2 linked regions of the Caenorhabditis elegans genome follow. The protein of the gene in region 1 interacts with the protein of each later gene in a pairwise test. Each region holds a gene or a part of one and is shown on either strand. Other genes may lie near its edges.

Evidence for each region.
Region 2: the proteins of gtnt-3 (region 1) and nhr-32 interact in a two-hybrid assay, tested with the Caenorhabditis elegans proteins (one large-scale study listed by BioGRID).

What each region holds. Positions count from the first base shown.
Region 1 is NC_003283.11:7,249,204-7,259,648, reverse strand, and holds gtnt-3 (Glycosyltransferase family 92 protein), read left to right. Parts: upstream 1-4,453; 5' UTR 4,454-4,491; coding exon 4,492-4,631; intron 4,632-4,680; coding exon 4,681-4,795; intron 4,796-4,863; coding exon 4,864-4,955; intron 4,956-5,136; coding exon 5,137-5,327; intron 5,328-5,804; coding exon 5,805-5,902; intron 5,903-5,946; coding exon 5,947-6,099; intron 6,100-6,650; coding exon 6,651-6,754; intron 6,755-6,797; coding exon 6,798-7,064; intron 7,065-7,164; coding exon 7,165-7,324; 3' UTR 7,325-7,405; downstream 7,406-10,445. Other genes in the region: C13A2.12 (Trichohyalin), read right to left, coding at 1-384.
Region 2 is NC_003284.9:13,246,619-13,258,656, forward strand, and holds nhr-32 (Nuclear Hormone Receptor family), read left to right. Parts: upstream 1-5,345; 5' UTR 5,346-5,357; coding exon 5,358-5,409; intron 5,410-5,612; coding exon 5,613-5,759; intron 5,760-6,850; coding exon 6,851-7,005; intron 7,006-7,053; coding exon 7,054-7,131; intron 7,132-7,268; coding exon 7,269-7,535; intron 7,536-7,579; coding exon 7,580-7,663; intron 7,664-7,716; coding exon 7,717-7,808; intron 7,809-8,276; coding exon 8,277-8,544; intron 8,545-9,279; coding exon 9,280-9,381; 3' UTR 9,382-9,666; downstream 9,667-12,038. Other genes in the region: Chromobox protein homolog hpl-1, read left to right, coding at 133-217; K08H2.7 (uncharacterized protein), read right to left, coding at 1,080-1,186, 1,251-1,314, 1,557-1,700, 1,749-1,808.

The sequences.
Region 1 (10,445 bases):
CAATCTAGCTAGAGCCTTCTTCTTGTGGGCAGCAACAAGATGCTTTCTCTTGAGAGCGTTCAATCTAGCTAGAGCTTTCTTCTGGTGAGCAGCAGCAGCAGCTCTTCTTGAAGCAACGCTTCTCTTAACAATAACTTTTTCGGTGTCAGCATATATGGTCTTTGGCTCATCAGATCCTGCCTCTGCCAAAGTCTTCTCCTCGGTATCATTAGACTCAGCCGTTTGTACTCCAGTTTCTTCTTTCTCTGAAGTCTTCTCCTCGATGGCAACAGTTGGGAGCTTTTCTAGTTCAGCATCTCTCTTCTCACGAACGTTGGTTGAGAATCCTTGGACAGTAACCGACAAAGCGGTGAATGCAAGCAATGAATAGAAAATGAACTTCATTATGAGATTGGTTGTTGAAGAAACTATTCTGCTAGCCTTGTAATATATATGTACTAAAGATGGGCGGCAACTTAAACCAGTATCAGGAAATTGTTGTTTTCTTCGATTATGTTGGCATTTTCTGATGCATAAGACTGATATAATCAAATATCCGATTGTATCTGGTCCTGGTCAAAATGTTTTTCCAGTGTTGGAACAGTATGGTAAATTTCAGGCTTACTAGAAGACCATGTTAGGCGGTGATGGAATTCTAGAATGAATATAATTGTCTTTTAAATCTGAAATAACGTTTGATTTGTTTCAGATAGAATCGAATGATTCTAACATTTGGAATAGTGAACTTGACATTTTTCACAGAAATAAACAAATAACCTACTTTTGATATCACCGTGGCGTTGAGCTCATGATACTTAGCATAGCTTGTAAGTATGTTCTTCGAGTTCTTCTTCATATACATATGTACGTCTTCTAATTAATTCCTTGGATATAGGTATGTCGTATGAAGTTTTTTTCACATTTTGAAAGCGTATCATCCATGCAAAAATTGTACATGGATCTGAGCATCATTAAAAAATATACGAGTTATTTATTTTTATTTTTCAAAATTGTGTCATCTACATAGTTTCATTCAAAATTCAAATATCAATTTTTGGATCCCGAAGTATAAATGGCCCTTGACAAGGTAATCTACTTAATTTTTCTCCTGGTCCTTTTGACTACATAACAAAAGTAAACATAGTTAGTTATTTTGTAAACTTGCAAGATAATTCGAGTTCACTAACACTAATAGAGACTGCAAAACAACTGGAGCCTGTTGTCAACTGTGTTTTTGGATACAATACTCAGAGATTCGTCATATGTATTACTAGAGAGTGCACAGTAGTCCGTGACTTTATCCTTTTCAATTTTCATCTATAAATGCATTAACAGGTTTTTGTTACAATAACGGAAATCTTCCGGTTTAATTTTCATTTAAAAATTATAACTCCCAACAAGGACTAATCATTGCATGAAGTTAATGTGGGCTGCGCAGTGCAAAATGTATGTACTGTACTGTACTGTACTAAATGTACTGGAATAGTCAATACTAATGAATATTATCTAATTAGAGAAGGGGTAAGAAAGCCTAGCAAGCAGGCTTTTGTCAGAAATTTATGATTTTCAGTGCGATTTCGACCATAGAATAATACATTTGTTCTAACATAAGATAATTATTTTGCTGAAGGAAATTTTTTGATTCTTTGAGATTCAAAAATTGTAATAATAGTTTTGAATGTTGAATGCATTTGAGATATAAGATGGTTTTATGCTAGACTTTGCAATACGGTCAGATAGATGAACATCTGATACAAGCTTGCTGAAACAACGCCAAGCTGTCTCACATGTTCCGTGTCTTCTATACAAATGCATGTTCTTCGAATTTGAGATCTCCAAACTAGTATCCTCCCGTGAAACAATTTAGTGACGTCTTTATTCCAGCGTTAAAAATCTTTTTACAGCGTTGTATGCAGAAAAGATCTCAAGCCATGTTTTAAGAACACGGCAGTTTCTTATCATTTCCTGTATTTTGTAATCAAAAATTATAAACCAATTATTTGTGAAGTTTTTGTACGGACAATCAATTTGCCTATATAATATATTATAATTCCTGCCTTTATATTGCAGATAATTTCTTCAACTTCTTCGGCAAAGGATTTTACACCGGTGTTTCAGTGGTGTACTTTTTAAATGTCGAAAACCTCTCCAGACTCAGCATGTGCCTATTCTCATTATTCATATGTTTACGCCTCTGTAGATGACTGAAACTAAATTATACTTGACATATGTACATACTTGAAAAATAGATGGTAATATAAGCAAAGTTATGGGCTCATCGGTTAATAGACGTATTACACTTTGATAGTACTACTAATAAGTCTAAGAAGATTCAAAAAAACAAACATTTTTCGTTGAAATTACATTATGCTTTAACTGAAAAATGATTCATTAAAATTTTACCATTTCGAGCAAATATGCTCAAAATGGATATTCACTTTGCTGGAGCTCCTTGTTGCAGAATCAATCAGTGAGCATTGATTTTATTAGGGTTTTATTAGCCAGGTACATTATTGTGGTCGGCAAATGGACTGTCAGAATCCGATCTGTTAACAACAACAGCTAGTTTTCTCTATAAAATGGCTTAATGGTTACCGCCAGGGTAACTAAATGAGATAGAACAAGTGAGCGACGACAACGGAGACTAAACGCTGCAAAACAAGAACTGAATTGTTGATTAACATGCCATAAGTATTATTCAATCTTGCATATGTTTTTCTAGTGTCAGTACAGATAGAACAACAACCAACATAGGAACTTAAAACAGTTAATAAAAAAGTTTAAAATAAATACATACAAATTTCGAAAAAAATTATCAAAAACTAAAAATACATATTTGTTTTCAGGCATTTCATAATTTCAAGACTACATTACTCATTTCAAGCTAAAAGTCAAATAGTTTTTTGAATGGGAAAGGGTTTACAGATCTCAACTTTGACAACTCGTATAATTTCAGAAAGACAATATCTCAAAAAATTTATCAACTACGTTAATGCTTAACGGTAGAGTAGAGTCTATTTTGTTTTGACAGAAAATGACAGGATTCACAAAATAGAGAAATGACAAAAATGAACGACAGAAAATAGGCCCTAATGACCGAACATTACTGTAATTTTTTTTTCAAAATATTCTAAATTTTTTAAAGATTTTTTCAATTTTTCAAAAAATCAAAGAAACGACCGAATTAAATTTGAATTCTCGCGCAAATGGGTGTCATAATTTTTGATGTTTTTGCGTTTCCTGGCTCAATTCGTCCGTTTTTCTTGATTTTTTTTCTATTTTCTGTCATTTAAAACAAAACATTTTGACTGTACACCACCTTTAAAGTGAAATTTAAAAAAAAACATTGCCTGGTTAAAATCCGTGTTTTTATCTTTTTGTGTTGAAGATCAATCAAAAGAAAGCAAGTTTTTGAGGTAAAGGCAAAAAGTTTATCTTACTTATTAAGCTATGCTGGTCGCGCGTAAAGATATGTGTACGAGTTACTAAGACAGTTCGGTCCATTGTTTTCCAACAATAGTAACGGATAAAGAGTCAAGCTTATCGAAACGTCAGTTTGGTTCAATGTTAAATAATATCAGGAATTCATAAAAATCAAAACATTTTATTACAAGCAATTCTTTCGATTCACTTTTTCAGAAAAAATGTAACTTAATCACAACAGCTTAAGTTGATGTTAACCTCGCATATATAAACTATTCTGAACTTCACCACACGTTTTCAAAATAGTGTGGTTTTGGCAGAGTATCAAAAAAATTGAGCTGCGATTAAATCAATTTTATGATGAAACATTTACAAAATATACCCTCGAAACACCGAGCACAATTTCGCATAAAAACTATGCGGCCAAGGAAATCAATTTTCGATGCACCTAATGTAAGGATCTGTTGTCGCCAGACAGGAGTTTTCATCAAAAATGTTTTATGTAATTTTGAAACAAAATATTGTGTTTCTTTTGTCATTCTGTGAAATTTTTACAAATTACTCTGAAGTTTTCATGACAATTCAAGCATTAATCGTTGTTTTGGAACCGATTTTTAATTTGATGGCTGAAATATGATTGCAACAATAGATCTTGAAAATTTATGCTACAAAAGTGAATTTCAAAGACAATGTTCAAAGACGCCAACTTAAAAGTGCTAACGGAGCAATATATTCTCTTCATTCTTTAACGTAATCAAACAGACTCCAGTAGTGATTTCATATCATTGTTCGCCTATAGTTTGTGTGTCTTGTTTGCTTACGCAGGAGTTTCAATACTTTTAATACTTCTAGTTTAACGGAAGGTCTACAAATGTTTCATACCCCCTTCATTTCACGTTTTGTTATTCTTACTTTTCAAATAATTTAAAAAACTATATAAATAATTTATAAACTATAAAGCTGTGAATGTATCTGCTCTGATTTTAATCTCCCCTTTCGCTTTACAAGCTTTGTTAATCGAGATAAAATCCTCATCCCGCATTTGTGGCGTTTCTCCACTGTGTTGAATTACTCGTATTAGCTAAGAAAATGTTTAATAACTTCAAAAAAATTGTAATACTCTGTTTAAGATTAATTATTTTTTGTTTCGGCCTGGGAATCATTTTCAATCAAATTTCTCTGCTTATTAATGTTTTTAAAGAGGCAAATCACTCATTTTCCATTCATTTGTGAGAAAACTGAAATATCATTTCGAAATTATAACTTTTTATATCTTAGATATTCTCATAAAAACAAGGATTGTGTTGTGCCAACATGGAACAGAGTTACTTCGAAAGATGTACCATACTCAGAAGATTTCAAAAAATGGGCCGCAGTGCGGATTGGTGCTTTTGTAAGTTTTATCTTTTATATCCTGGCCAACCTTCAAATAAGCTTGAATTTTTTGTAAAACTCTTTCAGAGGCACATCAAAGATGCTCAAGTCCGTCTTCTATCTTCATTTGTGTATTCTGATCAAATTTCAATAGTTACAACGTCACAAAACATTGATAAGTATGTGAGGAAATAATAACGTTTGCTTTTTTTGACAAAGTATTATCAAAGGCATTAACAACGATGAAAAGAAGAGACAAAGATCTCAGTTTTGGAATTACAAAAATTGAAGGTCGTTGTCGAAGACTTTGAGCGTTATTCTCCTAATATACTTCTTAACGTTTGTTTCAGCTTTTTTCAGCAAAAAGGTGACTTGTCGATACTACGACTGTAATCGTGATGAAGTTCCTTACTCTTCTTTCGACACTGTGGTAGTTCCTATGACAGTAATCACATGTCCCAGAAGATATGGCGCCGAGTTTGTAAGCGTTACTTTTGATGAGAATGAAACCCCTCATGAGCCGATCCCATTGACCTTTAGAATTTACGATGGTAAGATACGTATATACGTCTTAGGGTTTTCAATTTTTTATTATTTTTTGAAAGTTTATAACTGAAAATCTAAATTTTATAGAGGAAAAGAATGAAGTAACTTCGAATATAAAGTTTGAACGGTTTTTTATGAACTTTTAGAACAAATTGAAAAAAAGCTAATGAATATCTCGGAAGTTTCCGAAACATTATATAATTTTAAACTATTTATAATTTTATTTTTTTCAACCAAAAGTTCTGCCAAAAAATTTTAGCTATGTCCGCTGGTGTTTTCCATTTCCCTTTTTCGGATTACTCAAAAAGTCATCAAACCGTCCATCTCAAATAGTAGACAAATAATATAATAAACGATTCATTATATGAAACCGGATGTTTGGTTTGCGGGTGCTCTTTTCAATTTTTATTTTGCGGCACAAATTTTGAGTATCGGGACCAATGTTCAGTTATTCAGTATATCATGAACAATTTTTCGTTAAGAGCCAATTCATGAGCTGTCTGTTTGTGTTGGCCCATTGTACGGAAAAAAGAGCAAATGGTTGGAAATTGTAGAATATGTGGAGCATTATAAACTTGTGGTAGGTTGCTCATATTTGAAATAGAAGCAATAGTTCTGATTAAGGGTGTTTCATATTTCTACTTCACTCTGTTCAGTATAAACGAATATGATCGAACAGTCGTGGACTACTATGCAAAGTTCGGATATGCCGAGTACACAACTTATATTACAGAATATCAAGAATTAGGATGGATGTTTCACTTGATACAAACACAGGTTAAATTTTATATGTTTTAATTGTGTAAGAAACCTTTTCAACGCTGGCAATAATTCAAATTTACAAGGGAAATAATTGAGTTACGAGAATGAGACGCCGAGCGCATTCCGGTTTGTGACATTTCAATGAACAAAAAATTCAATCTATGTACAAGGGATGGGCGACGAATCGGTTTTTTCGGCAAACGGCAAATTTTCAGCAAATTTGGTCGCAACTGTTAACATACATTTCTCTGCAAAGTTTACATTTGTTCCGACCATTTTTGACTTGTCAAAGAACTGAATGTTCGGAGAAAAAAAATTTGTTAGGAAACCAAAAAATGTTTGTCTGTAAACGAAAACAAAAAACCCGCCATTTAAGTCTACTTAAGTGTCTACCGCATACCTGTCTTTCATTAGATCAAGCTAAGCTTATTTTATACCTGCCAACGTGTCAAATAATGTGCATGCCAGCTTATGACCAATCTTCTTCCAAATGAAAAAAGTAACTCCTGTTATCTCGTTGGGTGTTTCTTAAATTCATGACTTATCTATGTTATAACTAGTTATAGGATTGCCACCATCGAAGCCGACATCATTCAAAATGGGTGATTAACGTTGATATTGACGAACGAATAATTTACACAGGCTCCAACGATATACTTTATTTTTTGAGGCAAGACTTTTCAAATCTGAGCAAAGCGTTATAATCAATTCAGGTCAATGCCAGCGTCAATTGGAGAACTCAGCATTACGGCAAATCGTATTCTAACAACCGGAACAATTCCGGAAAAACTGAAAAATTTTGCAAATTTACAGTCAGAATTGACGTTTCTCAAGTATAACAAGACCACAGAAGTCAGCTGGTACAATTTCAAAGGAATTATACGCCCGGATTTAGTATATGTTTTGTTTTATCACTGGTCTTTTCGACAAAAGCCGAATGTTCATGTTATTTCGATACCTAAACAAATTATTCATTTAAGGTACAACATTATCTTTATTTAAATTTTGGAATTGTTTCTGTTCCTTAGGCTTGGTCCCAAAAACTCACTTGAAACGAAAATTAGCTATATGACTTTTCAGGCATTATCGAAGTGTTGATCAAAATTCGTTAAATGGAAATTGGATGGAATTCTACAATGGATCCTTGAAAGAAACTAGGCTGGCTCCAGATTTCGAACAACAATTAATCAAAAACGTGAAAGAAAAAGTGAAATATGTTTACGATCAACGATGGGTTTAATGTGAAGAAACATCGGAAACAATTACCAAACTGTCTAATTAGCAAGCATGTTTTAGATTGAAAATGAATTTTTTGAAGGCATTATTTTAGATGGCTGTCTATAATAGTTGGACGGGTGGTTTTGGGGCATTTTGGCCAGATTTTTGTTCTTTTTTTTTTGAAAATTTCAGGAAAAGGGTTTTGACGTTCAGAAAATTACGTCGTTAGTAGTTTTTCGGAAAAAGGTATAGAAATGGAGTGAAAAATAAAAATTAGGTTAACAATAAAAGTTGGGCGTACTGTAGTTATGCACTTTTTAAAATACAAATAATGTACTAATTTTTACAAAAAAGCCGAAAAACTGGCAAACATCAGGGTTTTTCCTAAATTAAGCTTACATTATCAATGAATATTACTGGTTCTATAAGCCAGTGCACGTAGGTCCTCATCCCACTCGCAGAAAAGTAATCAACCACTAAATAAACTTTCGGTTTTATATCCAAAGCAGTTGACTTCTAAATTCTTATTCCTGATAGTCATGTCCATACGGATAATAATTTTCACAGTTATTGCTTTTCTATACCACACAGAATCATGTATCCGGATGATACCACCGGATTATGTTGGCTTTCCTGCCACGCTATCAGATAATACAGATCCTGTAATAACTACAATTTCGAAAACAACAACAACAGCTCCGTAAGTCAAGTTATTCTTTGAGCTATTCAGACACATGAAAAAAAAACAAAACGCGTTCAGTCGGCGACTGAAAATTCCACAGACTAACAGTTGAACAAATTTTATTCAATCTTTGTCCTCGGTTATGATTTGACACTCGCCCTTCTGTCGATTTGCCATTCGATTTGCAAAAAAATCGAAAGGTTTCATCCACCGTGACAAAAAAATAGAAGTTTCGTTTTTAGGAAATATGGAAAAAAATAAATTGTGTTTTTCCTACATTTTCTTAACTCTCGAAGATACAACAATTTACACTTAAGAAATGACAAACTCGTAGAAAAAATACACTTACAAAACCCTTTTTTTTTCAAAATTTCAGAGCATCTAAAGTGTTGAACCATTTGGGACTTGCACCTTTGACGGAGAGGCCTAGCCTGTACTGGAGCGTGGTTATGAGGCTCTGTTGTTTGAGGTGAATAAAAAATAGTTTATTAGCGTGTCTAGAGCCAAAAACCGCCAGTTATTTTGCTTACTGTTAGTCATAATTACATATTATTTTAGTAATAGTCTGTTTCTTTCTCATGAATAACATCCACATATCAAATTAAATTAAATGTCTAGTGGTTTTCCTGTCTTTACTTCCTGCTCATTTTGATTTTTTTTTCGGATACTCGGAACAATTCTGAAAATGTCACAATGCGACAAGGAATCCCAAGAATATTATCCTACCTTCCAGAATTCAACAGCTATTAGTTTGTGCCAATTCCAAGAAAATTTTCTGTAGGTTTATTTTTTTAGCCGACAGAGGACAAAACATGGGGAAAAATGAAAAAAAATTATTGACAAAAAAAACCGTAAAACTTTGTGATCCCTCTCAATCAAAAGAAAGAAAAAATTTCGTACCGTCATTTCAGGGTTTTTTTGCTTAAATTTTTATGATAGTACAATCTAAAAATTTCAAATGAGACATATCTCGTTGCAAAATCCGGAGGTAAACTGACTTCCTTTCCTTGTGAGAAAATTTCCAAGACGAACCTTCTAATGGTTGAGTATAAGGGTCTAGTTCTTAATTTTTAGCCACCATCATTCAATAGTAGTTTGCGAAGTTTTTATTAATTTCTTGAACTTGAACATTTCCACCAATCCCCATACTGCAACCTGTAAAGTTTAATGGCAGTGAAGATAATCTCGTTTTGGAGGGATGGTTTTATTTCGATGGTTTTATTTTATAATTGGTCAGTAAGTGCAAGCACTTGTCGCTGCAGTTCTTCGATTTAGCGCCACCCCGAATAACAAACGGTTTTGCACTTTTTCTAAAATCTTGTTTGTTGCAAAATACAGAGAATAGAAACAAAAAGCGAGGTCACTAAATGTGTGATTCAAACAATCATATACCGTAATCCGTTCCATCAAAAGTGATCAAACTTCGCTATTGTGAACCTTTCGTTCATGTACAGAAAACAGTAAAGTGTTCCCAACAATATAATGGATGCACTGAAACACTCAATTTCATAAAAACTTTTAAAATATCTTAAAAACGAACGTGAATTTACTCGGCAATTTGGTTTTCCTATTTTTCGCACTTCTTCACCTTTCTTTCGCACTTCCACTGCTATATTTCGCCGATATAATCTAGGCAAAAATAGTGCGAAAGATAGGTGAAAAAAGGCGGAGAGAAAGGAGAACCAAACTGCCGAGTTAATGCTCAGTGTGAGCTCGGAGTGAGAGGTGAATCATCTCGAAATGATATTAAAGTTATATGTATGTTCTAGGACTAACGGTTTTATGAACGGAAAATAATATTCTCTGCTGGATTAAAGTCAGTAACACAATTATTTATGTTTTTGTTCAAACTTAAGGGAAAATTGAAGAAATTTTTTTCAATGACCATAATTAACATGGTTTAAAACACGAAAAAACTATAAAACTATCTTGGTCCTTTTTTAAAGACGGGGTCCCAGAGTTTTCTATTTTATTTTTTGCAGCTATATTATATAAGCTATGTAATAAAGCTATATAAGCTATATAAAATTATTTGTGATAACAGTTTTATTGATCCATGAGCCTTTTTTAACAGTTTTGTTAAGAAATCATTTTTTGTCATTCTGGGAAACATTCGTCAATTTATCTCAAGGTTGCAGATTTTATGGCACCATGCATTTTTATGCACATTTCTATAATTAATTGTAACTCTGTAGATATCATGAATAAAATAAGTATATTTTTGACATTTGCAGGTCATACGTCCTACATTCAAGTATCGACAGAAGTTCTATGAAGTATCTGAAGCTTCAACTTTTCTAAAATATATTATGTGCTTCGGAGTAATTTTAAAAATGCATTTATTTATCGTGTGCTTTCGTTGTGTGTGGAATTAACTACAAAAATTTTTAGAAATCGTGAGATTTTGAAAAATAACAAAGAAATGGAAAATTGATTCCTGAAAAGGCGGACGTATTTATAC
Region 2 (12,038 bases), on another chromosome or scaffold:
CTCGCCCCAAAGAACCTAAGTTGGCGCTATTCACAAGTCGCAAGGGATTTCTTGCAATATTCAAAACTTTTTAAAATATCGCTACTGCAAAGTCATCAAAAATATTAGTTTTCAATAAAGTGTGATTTTCAGTTTTCCAAGTCAAGTCATCAAATTCTACGAAACCCGTCTTGTTCTTCAAGGAGTTTCGCCAACCATCCCAGGAGGAATGAGCTAATTTAATTTCAAAAATTATATCGCACCCTCTCCCCTTCCCATAATTTGATTGTTCTCTCAGTACGTTTCGTGAATTTTCTCGCTGAGATTTCGTTGATGAAGGACTTACTCTTTGTTCGCTTCCCATTTTTCTTAACAAATTTTTGAACTTTTTATATTAAATTTTTTCACATCATTTTGTTTTTTCCTTTAATAAATTATTTAAATATTTGCTTTAGAAACAATCCTTTACCAGATAAACGAAAACGCACATTCTTCTGATTTTATGTTACCGTATCAGAAAAGAAAGATGTAGTTTCTATCTTCTCATCACGTGCTGGGATGCAAAAATGTGACAGGTTGATACATTAATACCGAAATAGTCAATAATGACCACGCTACAACGTGTTTTACAACGAAAGTATTTCTTTAAGAATTTTGTTCAGTTTTTAACAACTCATAATTTTGCTTCTAAAACAAACCTTTCTGATAATCTGACGTTGTCTTGTAAATTGGCTAGTTGTCTGAAAGCGCAACATTTCCTGAAAAGTTTAAATTGTTTATTAGAACCGTTTGATCATATAATTATTAGAGCACATTAAAAATATAAACACAGTTCTTTGTCCGTTTGAAAAAAAAATTTTGTTTGAATTGACTTATCAGATTTTTCACATTTTTAAAAAACTGATTTTATGAAGCCTAAATTTTGCAAACCTGTTTTTGTCAGAACAGTTCATTTTTGTTTTATGAAGGTTTTTATGAAAGCTCATCCTTAATTATTCGTATGATGAATATTTAAATTGTATTTTCAATTGACGTGATTGATTTTACTCGATTTCATTTGACAAACATTTAAAGAAAAACTTTATTTCGTACCACGAATGTCATAAAATTTGGTTCCTACAAATAGTTATCAACATCACTGCGAAAAACGTGAGCCGTGTTGCTGTATCAATACTTTTAACCACTGGCAAGAAAGAGACCTGGTCACCTGAAACATATTGAACTGTAGTCTTTGCTACTTCTTATCAGAAATGTTGCGTTTTAAAACCCACTGCATTGACATAAAATGCCGGTCGGTGTGAAATTCGAAGGAGTTATTCGAACCAAGTTAAACCCCTGAAATAATGATGTTTCGTCATCATTTCTTACTTCAAGTCTCACTTTGGTTTTCACTCTTCGCTGCCATTAAAGTAATTTTTTTAAATTTTTTATTAATATTTATTGTATTTTTCCAATTATCAATGTTGTGTTACATTATTTTTGCAAGCAAAAACTAAGAAATCCGAATCACCCAATCTAATTTTGTATTTCTTTTGCTAAGTTGCATTTTAATTAGAAATAAATTTATCATAACTCACCACAAAAGCCCCTTGCACAATGTCACATGGCTCTGACTGATTCCCGACTCCAGCTGTGATTGTTTTATTCTCCAATCTAGACCACCAATTCCACTTCGAAGAGCAATTTTCTCTATTCAAACCTAACAGCATACTATGCTCTTGCTGTAATATGTGACTTATTTAAATTCACCGTTAACTTGAGACACTCACCGTGCGAATTCCGTATTGTATGTAAGAACCCAAAAGATCGACATTCGATAATACTGCCATTTGACAGGAAGATGCTAGAGAACAAGTATCTATTTATCGACGTAGATAATCTTTTGTACAAAGTCAGTTCAAGGACAAGAATCAATGAACACGGAGTTTTTTTCAAACAATTTTCATGCAATAAAACCATTCCCTGATTTATATACATTTACTTCTGGGATTAATTTCTTGAACCAAATAGAAAAATTTGACATATAAGCTAGACTCAGAAATCAAACGTCAAGCTGAAAAATCTAAAAGTTCAAGAGCTCAACGTTTCTAATCTCATTTTTCACAATTACAAATTTTTAGTTACTTCCCCCTAATCCAATTTTCAAGTTTCAACACTCACGATGCAGCTTGCTAAACAAAAGTTCGCATCTTTCTGGGATTGTGTAGTTCCCCGAAGTATCCTGAACTCCCGCGTACATAGAGCACAACTGGTCAGCATAAAAGGTATTGACTCCGTCAGTTTCTCCAAATTGTTTGCACACCTTAATCAGTGGCTTTTTGATTTTTTTTTTAAAGATTTGACCAGATTTTTTTTTATTTTCTGAGTGTTTTTAGGGAATTTTTGAATAGGTAATTAGTTTTACTTTTAAACATTTTATGATTCAGTCAGTTTCTCTTATTATTAGCTATTCTTCGGATCTTATAAAATCTATTATTGAAATTTCAAGCTCTATAAAATCAGCAATATTTGATAACACAATTCCCAATACCTGGCACAACGTATTATTTCCCGTACAATTGAAGCAGCTGCTAATTTGAAAGAATATTGATAAAATATGCAACACTAAGAAACTCGGCATCTTCATTGCAGATCTGAATGCTAAAATGCGGCTCAGGTCGAACTTCGATGAAAATATATAATTTAGTTTCAGCGTTACTCGGGCAACCAAATATTTTCCTCGCTATTCTAGGGAAACTCGATTATTCCTCCACGCATCATGCTCCAAAAGGTTGTTTCCTGTCCCCCACGTGTTTCTAGTAAATCTACAGAACGTGTGTAGTTTGTTGCAATTGAAGCAGGGAATTGAACGTGATGATCTTTTTGGTATGATAGTGATATTACGATTGGGTACCTTAAAAAAAAAGAAGAAAGGCAACATATGACGTTTTTTTTGAGATTCCGATGAAAATTGAGGAAGTTGATCATAAAAAGTATTTCTCGGATACTCCAATTGTAATGTAAAACTTGAAGATCTGTGAGGAAACCACTTTTATTATATCATACCCATATTTTATAAAAAATTTAAGATTGCAGTAACGCATACAACAGAACTTACTTTCTTAATTTAGTATCTTGTTGGTGTCTCCTACTTTGCGCTCATTGAAATTATGGCTACCAATCAGCGGTAAGAAAAAATTAATGACAGCGTTTTATATGTGCGACAAATACAATAAAAGTTAGACAAAAAAATCGTTTCTGGTCTTTGACAAATAAATTATCCTTATTGTTGTACGTGTCAATAGCGAAATTATTTCAATACACTCAAAAAATTGATAGCTTTACGAGTTTTAATCTTGATAAATATAACCGAGTACCTTGTGTTTCAAATTTGTGCGAGTTGGGGTATGTCGTTTTCCGACATGGTTGTTTATTCTTCAAAAATAATAATCTTGAACACGCTGAACATTTTGTAGTACGCTTACTAGTTTCACAAATTTACATTTCAGTTTTTTAAAAATATTAACTTTCAATATATTATACATGAAATTGAATTAGTTGAGGTTTCCGGTTTTTCTGTAACAGTTCGCGCCTTTTTCTTATTTCATCTTCTTATTTCATTCTCTTTCCACTTCCAAATTTCAATCCAAGAGGCACACTGGTGGTTTCCAATAGGTTTTGTTTACAAGTCAAGAAATTGCGTAGCGATAAAAAAGTGATGCGAATAAAGTGGAAAAGGAGGGCGAGAGGGAGCGGGAGAAGCGGGTGGGAGCGTGCAACGCAACATTGTAGGTAGGCTGGTGTTTGTATTATAATGTGAGATGATAGTTTCGCTTTTTGGTTTTTCTTTGTTGTTTCAGAGACGGAGAGGTTGTATCAGTTTTTGGTCATTCGTTGCGAGAAATGGGAAAACACGTGTGTGTGTGTGTGTATGTTTGTAGGCGGAGGATAAGTATGGGAAAATAGTATTCTCTACTGATGATCTTTGGTGTAAATTTAGTGTTTTTTTTTTGAGGAAAAACGATAATTTAAATAGATTTTGCATTTTATTAGAATATCCACTGATTTTCTGTGAATTTTGGAAAAACAAAAGAAAATACCAATACATGTAGCGAATCAACTGAAACACACGTTTAGTGCCAATTGATATAATATTTAAGTCGATTAAAACATGTCTTTTGAATTGCAATTCGAATTTTGTTGCTTGAATAATTGTTATAATTGTTAGTTTTGATGAATTCAAAATTTTCATATCCATCATTAAAACAGTTCTTGTAAATTTTTGTAAAACATTTTCCAATTTAGTAAATTGTCATATGTATCTAGGTATTAATATTAGAACATACATATAAAGTAACGAGGCATGTTGGTTTTCAGTAGTTTTAAGTTTTTTGGAACAAAATGTTGTGAGAGTTTATGGCCCCAACAAAGTTAAAACTTTCTGAGACACCGTATAACAATTTTCCTGTGCCCTTTCTTACACTATTGTTAGGGTGATTGGGAGCAAATTCCCATGCATTGTTCAACGTTTAACGGTTTAAATGATTTTTGCTAAAGGTATACAAACGTTAATTGAACTTGTATCAGGTTTTAGCAGGAATATATCATTTCCTGAACAAATTTTGTATCAACCTTTGCTTAAGCTTTTCTGGGAAATGCCGCCAGTTTGAAGCATTCTAAGTTACTGAGATTCCTCATTTCTTGTATTCAATAGACAATTTAAAGTTTTATTAGCATGCTGTAGGTAGGTAGTAAGTCGGCAAAAACCTTTAGATTACCATCATTTTTTACTTTAGGGCACTCAAATTTGGCGATATAATCGAGACCGCAAAGAATCAAAGATCGCGACATGATTTCTCGCATTGAGGTCACACATATTCCTAGAGTACCAGATTTGTCCTATTCATCTTACCACGAATGGACCTCATTTCTCCTCACGTTTTATCGTTCGCGTACTTCTTCCTTTTCTTGCCCTTCGTTGTCTCGTCCCCAACATTCATTCTCTGCCTCTCTTTAGTCCGGTTTGCTTGTCCTGTCAATAGCACGTGCAGTCTATTTTCTCTCTTTTCTACTCTGCCACTGCACCGTTTCACGTCTGTCACTCTCCGGCTCTTGTGTGGTCCATCATTTGTACACGAAAGAAGGGGCACCTTTTCGCCGACCACCAACTGTTGTGAAAAGGAGACCAGATGAATTCATGTGCCCCGAGGGGAATTATGTTTACGTAATTTTAAATTAAGTCTAATTACTATGGATTATGACCTGGATGAGCTCATAATATCAATACCGATTTTTATTGCAACCTTTTCTTTAGAACGAATGTTCTTCTTCATTGAAAGTTGTGAAATTTTATCCACATAAAAATTTCAAAAAATGTAATTTTCCAGAGAAGGCATTTGATGTATGCAACGAAGCTCAATCCTTCACACATTGAAATATTGAGCCATACAGGTATTCAAAGTTTTGATTTTTTTTTCGTTTTCTAATTGGCTAATAAGAAACAATATATAATTTTATACTTGTTCCGATTAACGCTCAAACTTAAAACTGAAAGAAGCTTCCATAAAAAACAATAGCCTTTAACTGAAATAATCAATTAAAAAAACTCAAAATAAAAATTTTATGTCCGAATGACTAAGCATAAAACTTTTTAGAACAATGCGTGGTGTGTGGCGACGCGGCGGACGGGTTTCATTACGGTGTTCGATCGTGTCGAGGTTGCAACGCGTTCTTTCGACGAGCGGTCACTTTCAACATGAGTTTCACATGCCGAAGAGGGGGTCGATGTCCTGTTGATAAAAGTGAGTATTTTTTCAAATCTTCTAAATTTCAAAAATTGAAAAAAAAAACGAATTCCGAATAGTTGTGATAACAGGCCTGTCATGAATAAGGTCAAGATTGTTGTTACGTGCAAAACTCTCTTCTACACATAAACACAAAATGTTTTATCAGATCGCTGACTGTTTCAGTTAGTTTCAATTGACTTTTTTTCCATTCCTTGAAGTACGAATAAAAACTGCAGAAAATTCACTACACTTTTTTTAAAAATAAAGATTTTAGAGATTATTTCAACTAATTAAAAAAAAAAGGCAGTAATAAAATTAATTCATCCAAAATTTGAAATGACTTTCGATATTCTGAAATAGCAGGAACATTTGTGTTAGATGTGAACCAAACTAGTAAAACTAGGAAAAACCCCGCGAGTCATTTCAAAAATTGGATAAGTTGCGTTTTTTAGGTAAATTTATGAGGTAACATTTTTGAAAAATTAACATAAATGTATTTTGATTGTTTAAAATTTCACCTAAAGTTTTTGGTGATTTGGCAATTATTTTGATAACTTTTGACTTTCGAAAAATGCTTAATTTTAAAAACCTGGAGTGTTTAAACACATGGTTAAGAATGATAACTCGACCATAAAACGTTTTCGGCAAAATAAAAACTTAAAATCGGTAAAACCTAAATGATTTTTCATTTTTAATGTTAATAAAACAATTCAAACTATTCTTCTAACAGTTACTTTGTGGTATTTAAAATTTTTGCAATAAGAAGGTTATTTTAAGCATTTGCCCTAATGGTATCACTTTAACTTAGAATTACAAAGATGAAAACTCAATGTTTCTTAAAATTTTTGCATTGAACTAGTTTTCGGTATTCTAGGTAAAACAATGTTGCCAACAAAAATAAACGTGTTGCTTCAAAACCCAATATAGCAACACCCGAAGTGAAAGACACTCTCGCATCACTCGTGTTTTGTTGCCATGGAAATGAGCTATAGCTTCAATCTTATGATAGTTTCAATCAAAGCAATATGATTGGAAGTTTATTTAAACTCACTTTTTTTATTGGAAAAATTACGAATGGCTTGTTTTTAAACATTAATGTTTTCCAGATGCTCGTTGTGCTTGCCGAGCTTGCAGATTAGCCAAGTGTTACGCGGTTGGGATGGATAAAAAAGCAGTTCAACCAAAACGAGAAGTGCATACCTCCAATGGATCGTTCGATCAAAATGACCCCGATTATGATCTTCGATTAGGCGGAACACGGGTATGATCTTCCTTTTGCAATTATTTTAAAAAACAGAAAGTGTTTTAGACGTCTCCAAGCTATGAGCTCAGCAGTGATATGACCTCTCCTGGCTCCGCGTTCACACCATTGAATATAAATTTAGCAGTGAGTTGTTTTTTGTTATGGTTTATATATGATAAGAGACCGAAGTTTATTCTTTTACCTAATTGAAGTTATCCTTGATATATAAATTAATTTCTTGATTTCTTCAAATTTAACATCTATTATAAACGTTTCTTTAGGATTTCACACCAGCAATTCCTCCGTCACCACCTAGCGATAGCTCCCTGATAGTCAGACAAGTATACGATTTTATGGAACAAAAGCGGCGAAGGCGAGCAATGCTTTGTGGAAGTCTAGAAGAAATATTATCCGAGCAGGAAATGACGTTACGTCACCCTGCCACGTCAGAAGACTTCACGACAATATTTCAAGCCCAAATGGTTTTAATGTTCGAATGGGTTGAAAAGTTACCCGAGTTTCGGATGCTTTGTGATCACAATGATAAGGTATACACACATGTTTCTCTAATTATGTACAATTTAAATTCCAGACAAAACTTCTACGAGCATTTGCGCTCAAATACATGCTGTTAGACAATGTTTATCACACTTATGAACTTGGCTTTCGAGATCGGGTTAGTTGAAACTGAAGATGTACATAACTGAGTAAAAATGTTTTTATTTTTAGTTAGTATTGGTCAACAACAATTATATTGTTCCCGGTGTACCGATTAATTTTAAAGGAAGTGATGTTGTGGATGAAAATCAAATGAGAGATATGTAAGTTTTTTTTTAACTTGTGAAAATCGTTTGGGAATTTAACTTTCATATTTGATAGATGAAATTTTCAAATGAACTTTTCATTCAATCAAACTTCATCTAGTCCAGCTATGTTAATGCTCTCATTGCAATTGCAACAGTTGCAACAAAGTATCAGATATTTTTTCAGCCTGTTTGCACGCATTTTTTTTCAAAATATAGTTTTTGATAAATACATTTTCTAAGCAACTTGGTTTAATGAGCTACAAAACTTGCATAATTCTTATTTGAATTGGCTAGATGTCTTTTTCGTCTCAAAATTGTTTTTTCAAATTGATGAATATATGAAATGGTTTAGCCAATTCCAATCCCATTTAATTCATATTATACATAGTTCCTCAGCTTACAGTTGCCAAATTTAACATTCAGGTCTTGTTAATAAAAGTTCTCATTTTACAGCCAACATTAATTACAATACTTTTTTTACAGAATGTTCGGCGAACCCATGCGTGCTCTAATCAATGAGCTGGTACTGCCGATTGGCAGTCAGAACATGTTATATGGAGAGATTATGACGATACGAAGAATTATGTTTTGGAATCCTGGAAACGTACAGCTATCTGAAATGGCAAAAGCGTTATCTGCCGAAGCATGCAACGTCGCTATGAAAGAATTGCAACAGTATTTAATATCTGAAGGAGTTGATGATATTGAAGCTCGGATCAAGTTTATACTTCTGTTGCTTCCATCGTTTACAGTGAGCTTTTTAGAGATAAATAGGAAAAGTTGCCAGCATAAGTCTAAAAAAAAAATCTACACGGTCAGCTATCTTTCAAGTTAAAAAAACCATAGTTGTAATTACCGTATTTCCTCTATCAGTCTTGCAGCCTCTATTAGTCTGGCACCCCTATTAGTCTTGCACCACTGCGGGCCAATCGTATTGTCTGACCAGCAATAATTCGTAGAAACTTCAACAAATTCGTCATTTTTTGGTTACATTAAACATGAAGGTGTTCAAATAATTGATAAAATCATTGAAAAGTAAATATTTTGTACTACTTAGACGGTTTCAAGACAAGTTTTGACGAGAATTGGTCAACTTTCCAATGTTATAAGGCAATTGAAAATTAGTCTTGCAGCCTCTAATAGTATTGCAGTTTCTATTAGTCTTGCACCCCTGCGGTTCGATTGAAAATTAGTCTTGCATGCAAGACTAATAGAGGAAATACGGTAATTAAATATTTCCATGTTCCCAGTCGATTCAATAACGCCTTGAAAAATTAACCAATGCTAAATTACACTAAATTAAAAAAAGAAATCATATATCAAATCAAACAATTTTACTACATTACCCACATAAAGCCCAAGATGAGCACATAAAGTTTTGCTCCGACCCCTCTAGGGACATTGTCTTTATTCAATGATGACTAAATATATGCAACTGAAATGTGTTTTTTTTTTTAGTTTCTTCATGGAATTTTTTATTTTGCAGACTCATCACAAGACAATGTACGAAATTGTGCGGTTAATTCCTTCTTTCGGGAAAATGAGTGATTGGAATCAATTTATGGACGATGTTCTCAGCGGAGTCTGATTCATCTTGTTTCTTTAAATTTAAATTTTCCTGTTTGGAGTCCCCGCCAGACCGAGCTCTAAACCCCCGTCCTATTATTCAAAATTCATAAAAATTGTTGTGACTTTTTACACCATCGAATCAAATTCTTGTCAATTCTTGCTGATATTTTTCTATTCTTTCAACCACCTGAAATCAAACAAGTCAATTTATTCCATTTCTTTCAAATACATGCCATAGTCATGGTCCTTTGTTGTACATTACTGTTAAAAAAAATCAAATACGGAAATAAAAATATTGATCAGATGTCACAGTTGTACTGTTGTTCTGAAACTTTTTTATTGAGCAAGTTCTGGTAAATGTTAGCTATTAAAAACTTGAGTGCACTGATTAATTAGGATGTGAGTTTTTGGGTCTCAAAAAAAAACATTTTGTTGTTGCTTTGCATACAATGCCGGTTAAAGTGTTTTAACTCAAAATTTTCAACACTTTAAATTACTAAAATAAGTACCATTTGAAAACAAATGAGTTTATTAGAAACTTGTAGCCATAAATCCATTGATTAAATTTTTTTCATTAAACGTTTAACGCAACTTTACCAAGCTTAGTACAAATAAAAAAGCGCCAATTGAGATTTAATTTAATTAAACTTTCAGTAATAAAAAAGGTCAAACATATCATTATAGAACGGTTTAAATAAACTTGATTTTTTGAAATTAAAAATTTATTTTTGGTAATATGCGAAGTTCATGAAAAATATGGAGAAAACCTAAAATTGGTACTTGTGTATTACATGCCCTCATTTTCAAATTAAATTAAATTGTCATTAATTTCTCCAATTAAAATAAACGTGATATACATTATTCCTCTTTAGGCTTAGAAAATGTTATTTCCTAAGCCTAAAAATACAAATTGTGGTTCACGTTTTCATTTTTCATGGCTTAAAAAATTACTATTAAAATGAGGGCATGTAATACACAAGTACCCTAAAATTTAACCCCATTTTCGAAAAAGATTTGGTTATTTGAGCACAAGTGAAGTGGTTTCAAAATACTTCTCTAACTTACTCTTTCTTAAAAAAAAGACATTTTACGATTTTTTTTTGTGACTTTTGGAATTTAGTTACAGTCAATAAAATAATTAGTTTTGATTTACTTAATTAAATGAACTTAATGAATATAAACAATTAGAGCAAATACGGGACATCTTTTTGTAATATAGCGATAAGTTGTTGAGAATATATATATGTGCATTTATATGATTTGAAAGTTTTTCGAAAACTAATAAAGTTTTGGTAGCTCAATTCATACTAACTAATCATTAAAACATTCAATTAGATACATTGCAAAAATTATGGGCATACATATAAAGAAGTAAATCAAAATTTTCACTTTTAAGATAAGAAACTCAGAATACAACCATTGATAACGATTAAGTTGAAAAAATAAGGTTGTAATCATATTTTTGTCTCATTAAATTTTTTTTCTCAGTTCTAGGTCACTTTAAAACTTGCACCGTTTTTTAAAGATTTTTTTTCAGTTTCCAATTTTCATCTGATTCTTCATAAATCTCTACCTCTTTTAATTTTTATTTAAACCTCAGTGAAGTGAAGTACTGTTCAATTATAGTTTTATTCGATAAACCAAGTTTCTCACTACAAAAAACTTTTTTAAGAGCCGGGTGTCTGGTGAACTGCCAATCATCATCAAATCTATCTTTTGACTTATCGTTTTTTTGATTGCCCTTTTTGCCCATTTTATGGTGCACGAAATCGTTTCTTCAAGTGATAAAAAAGATAATTTTATCTGATAAACCATCATTCTGGTCAATTTACCTCCGATAATACCCACCGAGACAGCTTGTTCCGCAACCGATTTCTGGTGAATAGGGACATTGTACCTTGACTGGGGTAAGTGAAAATAGATCTTTTTCACACTTATTTTTTTAGGTGAGATATCAAAGATATTGATAAGCACGCAAATTTTACATTATTGCTTGAGATAACTAATTTAAAAAATAAGAAAACCGTAAGTTATGGTGATGAAAGTTACACTTTTGATCAAAACTACTATTGTCACTTCTTTAAAAACTTTTTTTTGTTATAAGTTACACATTTTGTTTTCAAAGCTTTTCCAAACATTTGTTTTTGAATTTTGTAGTTTCAGTGACTTCATATCTTGATAATATTATTGCACAAGGTTTAGTCTAAACCCAATATATCTTTCTGAATCCTGATATTTTTTTGAATGTTTACACGGCTTATCGTTGAAAAAAAAAATTCGCTCGGGGCTGAAAACGATGCTGCAGATCCATTGTTTCCTACAGGCTGTAAAACGATGCGTCATTTTTCAAATCTATTTTATGACACATAAAATGTATTTCTAGAAATCTCCAACCGGAAACTGAAAACTTTAATATCGCAAAAACAGGTGCACTTATAAGAATAAGAAACGGTTCCGATAAACGGATCACTTTTTTTTTCTGAACAAAAAATGAATCACACTTTTTCCGTTTCATTCTGGCTAACAATGCTAGGCTAATACTTGTAGAATGTTTAATCTAGACTAATGGAGAAAATTAGTAGCTACTAGTAGCGAAAAAAACTTCAGAATTCGAATCCACGAGGATTATTTAAATAATTGTAAAACAAAATTTCTTATTAAAAAAGGTCATATTAT